3 linked regions of the Macaca fascicularis genome follow. The protein of the gene in region 1 binds, or shares a complex with, the protein of each later gene. Links are inferred from orthologs where the notes say so. Each region holds a gene or a part of one and is shown in the gene's direction. Other genes may lie near its edges.

Evidence for each region.
Region 2: DHX29 (region 1) and eukaryotic translation initiation factor 1A, Y-chromosomal share a complex: the UniProt entries of both Homo sapiens proteins name them as parts of the 43S pre-initiation complex. The link is inferred for Macaca fascicularis from reciprocal best matches to the Homo sapiens genes DHX29 and EIF1AY.
Region 3: DHX29 (region 1) and EIF1AX share a complex: the UniProt entries of both Homo sapiens proteins name them as parts of the 43S pre-initiation complex. The link is inferred for Macaca fascicularis from reciprocal best matches to the Homo sapiens genes DHX29 and EIF1AX.

The regions. Positions count from the first base shown.
Region 1 is NC_088380.1:60,695,854-60,699,506, reverse strand, and holds part of DHX29 (ATP-dependent RNA helicase DHX29), read left to right. Parts: intron 1-839; coding exon 840-1,016; intron 1,017-1,713; coding exon 1,714-1,854; intron 1,855-3,097; coding exon 3,098-3,242; intron 3,243-3,377; coding exon 3,378-3,495; intron 3,496-3,653. UniProt on the Homo sapiens protein: ATP-binding RNA helicase involved in translation initiation. Part of the 43S pre-initiation complex that is required for efficient initiation on mRNAs of higher eukaryotes with structured 5'-UTRs by promoting efficient NTPase-dependent 48S complex formation.
Region 2 is NC_132903.1:7,967,676-7,971,860, forward strand, and holds the start of eukaryotic translation initiation factor 1A, Y-chromosomal, read left to right. Parts: upstream 1-1,320; 5' UTR 1,321-1,501; coding exon 1,502-1,517; intron 1,518-4,185. UniProt on the Homo sapiens protein: Component of the 43S pre-initiation complex (43S PIC), which binds to the mRNA cap-proximal region, scans mRNA 5'-untranslated region, and locates the initiation codon. This protein enhances formation of the cap-proximal complex.
Region 3 is NC_088395.1:19,994,521-19,998,173, reverse strand, and holds part of EIF1AX (eukaryotic translation initiation factor 1A, X-chromosomal), read left to right. Parts: intron 1-970; coding exon 971-1,052; intron 1,053-2,559; coding exon 2,560-2,651; intron 2,652-3,653. UniProt on the Homo sapiens protein: Component of the 43S pre-initiation complex (43S PIC), which binds to the mRNA cap-proximal region, scans mRNA 5'-untranslated region, and locates the initiation codon. This protein enhances formation of the cap-proximal complex.

The DNA.
Region 1 (3,653 bases):
TCTTCCCTAAAATGCATGTGTTGGAAGAGCATAAAACCCTTTTTTCTGACAGTGATAGAGATTCTCTTGGATTCCTGCTAGTTAATGCCTCTTTTTCTACCTAGTAGATAAACCATCTGTCTTGTAATGGTGACAGTATAGTTTTATATTAGTGGCAGAGATTTAGCAGTCACTCTTGCTTCTAAGTGAAATTTGGGATATACCCTACATCTTTTCTTTTTTCTTTGAGACAGAGTCTCACTCTGTCGCCCAGGCTGGAGTGCAGTGGTATGAGCTTGACTCACTGCAACCTCTGCCTCCTGGGTTCAAGATTCTCCTGCCTCAGCCTCCCAGGTAGCTGGGATTACAGGTGCACACCACCGTACCTGGCTAATACTTGTATTTTTAGTAGAGACAGGGTTTCACCATGTTGGCCAGGGTGGTCTCAAACTCCCGACCTCAGGTGATCCGCCCGTGTCGGCCTCCCAGAGTGCTCAAGTATGAGCTACTGGCAATAAGGTACTCCTTTTTCACGCATCCCTCAAACTTAGAGTTGTACCCGGCCTTATCAGCTACATCTGATCTGATTTGCGAACCATCTCCTAGGGTAGAGTCATGCTGTCATGGCTAATCTAGTTCATTATATGATTTTCAGTGACTTCAATTTTAGAGAATGACTTTATTTTCAGTTCTGAAGATCTGCCTTATTTAAAACATACAGCTTCTCCCTCCCTGCACATGTACTGACTGTACTTAGATATTGAATAACTTTTAGTAAATCTGGGTGTCTGATTGTTCAAGCTTCTTACTAGAATTTGTACAATATATGATGAATTTTTTTATTCCCTTTTTAAAACTAGGTTCATGAAAGAAGTGTCCAGTCAGACTTCCTACTAATTATCTTGAAGGAAATTTTACAGAAACGTTCTGATCTACACTTGATTCTAATGAGTGCCACTGTGGACAGCGAAAAATTTTCTACGTATTTCACACACTGCCCTATTCTCAGAATTTCAGGAAGAAGTTATCCTGTTGAGGTAAGTTTTCTTTATAATGTGTGTATAAGCAGAAACTGCATTACCAACAGGTTCTTTCCCTAGGAGATGGGTGCTTGTAGTCTGAGGCCAGAACTATTCCTAGGTTCAGTGAGTCGACAGAGGAGCGGGACACAGCCTTAAGAATCAGATGGCTGTTACTGCCTTGCCTGAGGCTGGATAGGAGAGAAAGGAGGGTGTTGACTCAAGACAGCCCTAAGGGCTAAAGAACATAAAACTATTTTCACATGAAAATCATTATATTCAGATTAAGAGTTGCCGCCCTTCCCTGGTCATCTAATGGTCAGGGAGAAAAAAAAAAAAGAGTGGCTACCTGGCAATAAGGAACTCCTTTTTCACCCACCCCTCAAATTTAGGGTTGTCTTTGAAGCTTCCTTTTTACATATTCTATTCTTGATTCTTACCTTTTCAGTTCAGCTAATATAATCTACTCTTAACTGTTTCACATTATATGTATATATATAAATATATCTCATAATGTAATTTGTCTTGAGGCTTTAGAGACAATCCCTCTTTGTCAACCAAGTCTTCATTCCCAAATAATACTAAACATTTTTTTCATAATATTCTAAATTAGCGTTTGGTGACATTCAAAAGGTGGTGTCCCCTTGTTCTCTTTAAAATGATATTTACTGAAATGAATTTGAATTCACCCATTTATATGCCTTATTCTATGCAGGTTTTTCATCTTGAAGATATAATAGAAGAAACAGGTTTTGTACTGGAGAAAGACTCAGAATATTGTCAGAAGTTTCTGGAAGAGGAAGAAGAAGTAACCATTAATGTTACAAGCAAAGCAGGGGGAATAAAAAAATATCAGGTAAAAAGAAAATATTTTGAAAGATATCAGATAATGATATCCAGGGCCTAACCTGCCACAAGAGTTTCAAAATCATATGGTTAACACAGTGAATTTGAGTATAATTTGATAGATGAGGAATAGATCTGAGAATGAACGAATTTTAAAGGTCGTTTCTTTAATCTTTATTTCATAGACTGTAATCTTTGATTTGTGATACTTTGATTGTCCTCTTAAACTATTCTGGGCCATCTAGGTACACATACAAAATCAAGGACCATACAAGTTAGAAGCAACTTCTTACAACAATTTTGTAACAGTGATCAGTTATTGAGGAGTACATAGTAGTGATTTTTCTCTACTTCATCTCAACACCATAGGTGATCAGGATAGGGCAGGTCTCAAATCTAGATCCTTGCCATTGGTTTTCTTAGCCTCTGTCCTGGCAGGAGCAGGGCAGAGGCAAGATGGTGATAGGTAGATAGTGACAGATAGATAGATAGATAGATAGATAGATAGATAGATAGATAGATACATACATACATACATACATACATACATACATACGTACATACTGAAGCTGTGTAGGGCATAGTTCTTTCTGGGAAGTTCAAATATCAAAAAAACAATGTTATCCTGCATTTTAGCCAGTGGTACTAGATCCAGCATTTTTGTCATATCCATGATATTTCATGCATGTTTCCAATTTGATGAAAACACAGAGTTAAAGTTATCTTTATATTTTTATTAAGCAGATAGACCAAGAAAGCAAAAAGTAAAATCTTCCCCTAAAACACCAGAGGTAAAAATTACTAACTAAAGAAAGACTTTAGAAAAGTATAATTATTTCAAAAGAGATGACTGGAATTCAGGAGCCAAAGTACAATGTAGAAGGAATGAGCCAGGTACAAACTACTTATTAAAGTTATGACCTCTCTTGGCCTGGCTGCTTTTTAGTTGCCACAGAATGATGCATACATGATTACAATATGCTTTTCTACAATTATTTTAGTATGTATATGCCAAGATAAAAAGGTTTTGCTATACCTAAGGGCTGGATGACATTAAATTATAGGAGAGAGATGATACTTTCTGATATTCTTGCCACTACTAAGTATATTCTTTCTGTATCTTAACAAAATAGTAATGGTGACAATGAGAAAAATATAGATTTGATGAATGCAAATACCGCCTTTTTTCCTTCTTTGTCTTACAAAAATACTTAATATTTTTATTCAGCTCCCTCTGGTTGGATTTCTTTTAGGAATACATCCCAGTTCAGACTGGAGCAAATGCTGATTTAAATCCATTTTACCAGAAGTACAGCAGCCGCACTCAGCATGCTATTCTATACATGAATCCTCATAAAATCAACCTGGATCTCATTTTGGAACTTCTTGCCTACTTAGGTATATTTCTATTTCTAATGGGTCTCCATTTTATTTGATAAAACATTTCTACTACCTTGAGATGTTTTGTTAATATTTTATATGCTGTTCCTTTTATCTTCTTATTTTGAATATTGTATCTTTTTAAAATTTCAGATAAAAGTCCCCAGTTCAGAAATATTGAAGGAGCAGTATTGATCTTTTTACCAGGTCTTGCTCATATTCAGCAGTTGTATGATCTTCTATCAAATGATAGAAGATTTTATTCTGAACGGTAACTACACATCTTCATTATATTCCTGGTTGTTTTAAATAGGAAAATATTTGGTACATTAAAACCCTTGATCAGAGTTTTCAAAGTTTTTTCACCAAAGGTTAAAATTGCCCATGGGGAAGTAAGATTTTTTTGTTTAAACATTTCCATTTTAACAT
Region 2 (4,185 bases), on another chromosome or scaffold:
ATACTATACTATGCATATCATGGCCAGTTACATGCCCAATAAGATAATTTAGAATAAATGAACAAATTCCTGATACATAGAAACTATTTACCTTGCAGAAAGAAAGGGAAAAAAAAAAGGATTAGGAAGATACTATTCTTTGTGTATTATAGCCAATTATACACCCAACAAGTTAGATAATTTAGAAAAAATGAACAAATTTCTGATACATACAAACTACCAGAACTGACTCGGGAATAAATATAATACGAATTCATAATCAAAACTAAGGCCTTGGACCATTTAAAGAATTAACGAATTTACATCAAATGTGTCCAAAAACACAGAAGAAAAAGGGACCCTACACAATTCACTCTGTGAAGCCAGGATTATACTGATCCTAAAGCCAAAGTCATCACAAGAAACAAGCCAATATATCTTAACACAGATACCAACATTCTAAACACAATAGTAGCACACACAACAAATCCAGTAAATCAAATGCTTGCATATCACAATCAAATGGAATTTTATCTTGAAATAATTTCACAACAGGCAGTCCATTTGAGACATTTGGTTACTGTAAGATTCAGATGCTTAGTCTCACCCCTTCCTATATATATTTACCTTCCATTTCCTATACATATTTACCGTCTACTGTTTGTCAGTATTCCGCTGGGTGGTAGCAATCTTAGGCGACAGGCCCGGCCTTGGTACTTACATGGTTTAGGGTGAGGTGCTGAGGTAAAGAAGACAGAGACTGAAAAAAAAAAAAGGCCAGGCGCGGTGGCTCACGCCTGCAATCCCAGAATTTGGCAGGCCAAGGCTGATGGACCACAAGGCCAAGGGTTTGAGACCACCCTGGCCAACATGGTGAAGCCCTGTATCTACCAAAAATACAAAAATTACCCGGGCAGTTCGCTCCACTGCACTCCAGCCTGGGCAACAAGAGCGAAACTCCGAAGGAGGGAGGGAAGGAAGGAAAGAAGGTAAATAGGGAGGGAGGGAGGAAGCGAGAGAGGGAGGAAGGAAGCATTCTGAACATAGAGGGTCTTGTCCTAAGTCAGTCCTCCAATATTACTGTGTAAGAGTAACGGCTCTCTTAAAATTTAGGTGTTTAAACGACCCACTAACTTGTGAAACTGGAAAACGTTTTTTTAGCAAAGCGGCGGACACCAGGTAACCGCCCCGTTCCATCCTTGACTCCACTTTCTCCACCTTGAGTTCCGCCCCGCTACCTGTTTATTCATCCGGCACCAAACTCTCCGGTATTCCAATGGGGTCTACTAGGTGTCAGTCATTTGGCCACGCCTCAGGCGAAGAGAGGCGCGGAAAAGTATCGCAATTAGGTGCGTCGCCTATTGCTGACGCCAGAAAGTGTGCGTCCGCAGTTTAGCAGAGAGTTCCGTGGCCAGTCTGTTGTGCGCACCCACCTGAGGCATCTTAGGTCAGCCTGCTCTTAGAGAAGTAGTAACCGCCAGAAAGGAGTCGGAAGAGGTCCCACGAGGCTGTCTTCACCGCTATGCCCAAAAATAAAGGTACTGCTGTAAGCGTCTGGGACTATACCTCGGCTTGCTCTGCCAGTAACCCCGATGTCTGTTCCAGGCCGCAGTAACTGTTCTTCCGGCGGAACTGGGCACCGCGCCCCCTGCACTCTGTTGGGGAAAGGAGTTGGGAATGCCCGATTTGGTCACATTGGGTGGGAGAGACGCCATTTTTGTTGGGCCTGCTTCGGAAGGTAGCGGGCTTTTGCTACTGTTTCACGCCAGACGGAAGGCGTGTAGGTAGCGGAGGGTTGAGGGACCCTAACCGGACGGCCTGGCTTCCCAGAGTAGGCACCTGCAAACTGCCTTGCTACTTTCCTTTGAAGCAGTTCTTAACTTAGAAGATTTACGTATCTGGACAGTTAAAAGTATTGCTAAGGATACTCCTTTTTCCTTATTAAACAGTGGGGAAACCTTGAAACATGTTTAGGTTCGTCTCTGGCATTTTACTCTACCCCATCCCCTTATAGAGTGTAACATTCTTTTGCAGAAGAATTGTTACATATTTAGGCAAGTTTTTAACTTCCGTATCCGACAAATATCGTGGGAGTAAAGACATCAACCTTCCCTTCATTCAGCGTTTAAACTTTCACACCAAGGTTAGACTTGAAAATAAGTTTACTTACAGTTTCTAAAGTAGGAGGTCTAACCTCGGCAGAACTCTTGCTCAGTCGTTTCTGAAAGAAATTCTCCTTTATATAGACCTGAGGTAATCGCTCACATTTAATGCCCTTGTAATTACTTGAAGAAAACTATAGGTGGAAACAAAATGTATTATTTTCCACAGGAGAGGACCATATTTTTAGTACACAAAAACTCTGCTTAGATTATTCCTTCTTGGGACCCACACCAATTTGTCTTCTTTTTACTTGCTTGTTGCCACCAAGGAGTCTGTTTCATTTTCTCTTTATAGCTGTTACGACACACAATTCGAGGTACTTGGTGACAGTACAGGGCTCTGTTTTCTGGACATTACTCTTTGCTCTCCCCAAAACCCACTAATGAGTTGTTTGTATAAGATTTGTTTGTTTTACTGCAAAATTATTCGAGGATAAAAGTGTATTATGGGAGAAGTCTAATTAGAGTTAGCAAAGGCTTATGATTTTCACTAACATTTTCTCACATGGTACTGAACAACTTCAGTAAGTATGTTCTCACTTTTATTTCTCTTGATGAGATTCTCAGTTCTCTTAAGTTATCGATTCTAAAGATCACAGTATCTCCCTTTGCAAAATGTCCATTAAATCTTTGTTGATGTTGCTATCCCTGTACGTGACTCTAGCCTTAAAATAGTAAAGCTTCCTTTATTCTTGTAGGGTAGAACTTTTAAACTGAGTGATGCTTAAGAAGGTTCTCAGTAAAGAGTATCACCAAAACACATAGGGTTTGTTTAAGGAGAAGGTATGGATTTGTTGGTCATAGAAAGAAAGCAAGATAAAATATTAAACGATTTTAATTGTTATATGTTCATGCCTAGCCTCATTCTTTTAAAATATAATTTAAAGTGGAATCTGTTACATGGTATTACGGTAGAAGGAGAATAATCAGGATTTGGTTAATTCTGGTAAATTGAAAACAAATTTTTGTATCATATCTGAGGCACATAAAAGAAGTACAGTGGCCGGGCGAGATGGCTCATGCCTGTAATCCCAGCACTTTGAGAGGCCGAGGCGGGTGGATCACGAGGTCAGGAGCTCCAGACCATCCTGGCTAACAGTGAAACCCCGTCTCTACTAAAAATACAAAAAAATTAGCCTGGCGTGGTGGTGGCTACTAGTAGTCCCAGCTACTCCAGAGGCTGAGGCAGCAGAATGGTGTGAACCCGGGAGGCGGAGCTTGCAGTGAGCGGAGCGCCACTGCACTCCAGCCTGGCGACTGAGGAAGACTCCGTCTCAAAAAAAAAAAAAAAAAAGTATAGTAATACAGTGAACTCCAGGAAATCCATACCTCTAGGAATTACAACACAGATTCGTTAAAGTCCTCTGTTACCTCTCCCAAATTTATTTTTAAGATTTACTTACCATCCTGAATTGAATGTTTTTATTATTGTGTAAAATCAGTGTTATCCTCTGGGATACTTAGTTGAAGGATATTTTTGAAGACCCCTACGTTTTATGAGATGAGACTTACTAATATAGAAGTAAAACTTGCTCATTTGGCTTTTTGTGTATTTTTGTTTTTGTTTTCATTTGAAAATCCAGATGTCTGTCAATATTGTCGTGGTGAGGTTTATCCAAATAAACATGTAAATGAGCATGGGCCATATGTGGAATTACTTTTTCTTTGCACTCATGCAGCTGGTTTTTTGCAGAAATCTCAGAAACCCATCCTCACATCAGGAAAAGGGCATCCTTTGGCCTACTTGTGAAGAGCTAGAGTAAGATGCTCCCACCTTTGAGATTGCTGTATGCAATTTAAAAGTTGCCATTCTTTTGCAAATGTGTAACTAATCATGATTTAGTCATTTGAAAAGCTGCCAAACTTTTATAAAACCCAGTAAGCAAAGCAGGTATGATCTTTGTCCTGACGCAGCTAAGTTCAGTCACGATTAATGGCTCGAAATATAGAATGTGTTTTCCTTTGTAGAAATTTAGTTTTGGCATACCCTAAGAAGGCATCAGAATCTGGATAAATCACGAAGTTGTGGAAGCCCAGATTTCTT
Region 3 (3,653 bases), on another chromosome or scaffold:
TATGATCTAACAATAACCCCAGGAATAGGAATAAGTAATTTCCTGTTCGATAGATAAGGACACCAAGGGTCCGAAATGAGTAACATTTTAACTGTAAAGTAACAGCCAGGACCAACTTCTGATTTGAAATTTTTCGTGATCCTTCCGTGCCCCTCCCACTTACGGCGTGGTCTTTGGCTCAATAGCATCTTCTGGAAGCTTGTTAGAAATACACATTCTTTGACTCTTCAGTCAGAGCATGCATTTTAATAAGATCTCCATGGGCTTCTATACACTTTACATTTTAAGAAGTACTGATCTGAATCACACTGTCCTTGAAGTTGAAGCAATCAATTTTCTCCCTTAACTGAGTTAAATTATTTTCAAATAGGGAAGTAGAACATTCTAAGACAGTATTTCTCAGTGGGACTTTTGCATCAGAAATAGCAAAGAACTTCTCACAATACTAAATCTTGGGCTTCTCTTCACATCTGCTAATCTATCTTCAGAAGATACAAAAACTCCACAGGAGATTGTGATGATACATAGCCAAAGAAGCACAGATAATGCAGAAAGGTATAATTTGCTTAGGTCATTGTACCAGTCTCAGTTCAGTCTCAGTTTTGGAATTGCAGTGTTTGATCACCCTGCAAATTATTGTCCCAGGGACCTTTTGTACTTCAAAAGACTTCTAATCAAAGGGTAATATTAAATAATCTAAAATATGGGGTCTTCACAGTTCTGCTCTTATTAAGTGAGATCTTTAAATATATTTCCCAAGCCTGTTAATAATCATTCAGCCATGTACATAAACTTCCTCCTGGGTTAAACCCAAGGATCTTTTTCAGAGGGTATGAGAAAGCTTTAAAATTTAAAAGGAGATTTATAATAAAATGGTGAGATTTGATTGTTTATTCAATATGAGAATTTATGAAATAACTGATAATATTTCGTCATGATCAGTTTTTAAAGTTATTTGTCTCTATTTAAGGATAACAAAGCTGATGTGATTTTAAAATACAATGCAGATGAAGCTAGAAGTCTGAAGGCATACGGCGAGCTTCCAGAGCATGGTAATGTCTGAGTTACTGTATTAACTTGTCATATGGTATTTAGGTTATCTGTTGCTGTTTAGGTGAAGGAACTGTGGATTTTGCTTATTTACTTTAGTGCTTACATTTTTAGTTTTAAGTATGCCTGCTTATGCTTCATAATACTAGATATTTTAAGAAAGAAATTACTGGAATTCTGTTCCCAATAAATATAGTGAGGAGTTATATTCTGTAAGCTTTGGAGTTCCACATAATGCTAACTAAAGGAATAATTTTGTTATAGTATCTATTTTAAAATTCCTTTCTTGAGAGACTGTCAGTGCTCATATGGGTTAAACATGAAGTGCACGTCAGCCAGGCGTGGTGGCACATGCCTGTAAGTCTCAGCTACTTGGGAGGCCAAGACGGGAGGACTGCTTGAGTCCAGGAGTTCGAGGATGCAGTGACCTGTGATCATGCCACTGTACTCGAGCCTCAGTGACAAAGCAAGACCTTGTCTGAAAAAAAATTAAAAACAAAAACAAAAACATGAAGCAAGGGCACATAATTAGGTACTATTACTGATTTTGTTTGTTTGTTTGTTTATTTGTTTGTTTTGAAATGGAGTCTCACTCGGTTGCCCAGGCTGGAGTGCAGTGGTGCAATCTTGGCTCACTGCAACCTCTGCCTCCCCGGTTCAAGCAATTCTCAGCCTCCGAAGCAGCTGGGATTACAGGCATGCACCACCATGCCCAGCTAATTTTGTATTTTTAGTAGAGACGGGGTAAAAAGTTCTATTTTCATTTTATCGTTGTGTAACAGTATCCCGTAGGATTTTTTAAAAGCAGCATTCTTGGTTTTCACCCTTCCAAATACAAAAGTAATGAATTCTTAAAGCAGAAAACCTAAAAATAAGTCCCTTACAACCTCATCAAACAAGAAATGTACTTGACATACTATTTTGTAGGCCTGCATTTTCACTTGGCAGTTACTGTTTTTGGCTCTGTTGTATCTTATTATGAAAAAACTTAATTTTATTATGTTTTACTTAAGCACGAAAGTATTAATTTTACTTAAGCATGAAAGTCCTGCTGAAATTACTTAGCATTTCTGATCTAATAAATGTTAATGTATCTAGGAATAAGACTAGCGCTTACTGGTTCATTTTCATTTCTTTAGGGATAATCATGATTTGACCAGATCTTTCTCATTGATGAGTCTATCTGATGATTAGTGAACCAGCTATTCTTAAGGAAATACGTTGTTACCATGTGCTCAAACCTTTTGAGAAGTATACCTGGAAGTTATAATAGCTTCAGAATTAGTGTAATTAGAGCCTTCCTTACTGAAAATACCTTTGCAAACAAAAGAAAATGGTAACACAGATACTCCCATCTTGACATAGCAGTGACACTACAGGGAATTTTGCTTCATATAATATTCTTCATAGTAATTGTGTTATATAAAAGTTAGGAATGCTTTTCTTATGATGAAACTTTGATTAAATTACAGTGCTGACTTACCAGTGTATTTCTTACTGTGTCCTTAGCTAAAATCAATGAAACTGATACATTTGGTCCTGGAGATGATGATGAAATTCAGTTCGATGACATCGGAGATGATGATGAAGATATTGATGATGTAAGTAGATGTACCTTGTGTTTTCCAATTTTTGTTATTATCCATGGAGAAACCAACTTTCCCCTAACATAAATAAGGGTATATTTTGAGAATTGTCTGAATTAAATAGTATTATGTAGAAGACACCTAGTCAAACTGTTTATTTTGAGAATTCTTTTTTTTTTTTTGAGATGGAGTTTCATTCTGTCACCCAGGCTGGAGTGCAGTGGTACAATCTCAGCTCACTGCAACCTCTGCCTTCTGGGTTCAAGCCATTCTCCTGCCTCAGCCTCCCGAATAGCTGGGACTACAGGCGCGTGCCACCACACCTGGCTAATATTTGTACTTTTAGTAGAGATGAGGTTTCACCATGTTGGCCAGACTGGTCTCGAACTCCTGACCTCAGGAGATCTGCCCTCCTTGGCCTCCCAAAGTGCTGGGATTACAGGCGTGAGCCACCACGCCTGGCCCTATTTTGAGAATTCTTACAACCCTCTTCAATTTCTCTTCCTAAAAAGGTCGGTGTTTGCATTGGCAATATTGACGCCAGCCACTGTAAGCATGATTTGTCTAATTATGAGTCTCTAAAGAGATAGCTATTAAAAAATTTAGTGGACAGTTGAAAAATAGATCTTATCAAAGGAACATACATGCCTTTTTAATTGAAATATTAGTGTGTTGAAAGAATCTTGTTTGAATCAGCTTGATATGAAGATTGGAATTACAACATACACTGAAAGCCTTGTCAAAATGGAAGCCTATTGCCAATTATGGTATTTTTAGCTGTTGGATGTGTACTGTTGGCAAACTCTTGGGCAGTTGGTATGTTTATTTTGAGGAAAATGGATTGTCTATCCTAATAATAAAGTAGTAATGCCCATAAGTGTAAATGCTTTACTACACTTCTGCTGTTACTGTATTTGAATGAAATTCAAACTTATTCTTTTGGCAGTATAAATTTATTTAGTGATTGGGGTGTTACTCTTAAATCTGTTTTGGGCTCTTTTCAGACCTCTTTAACTA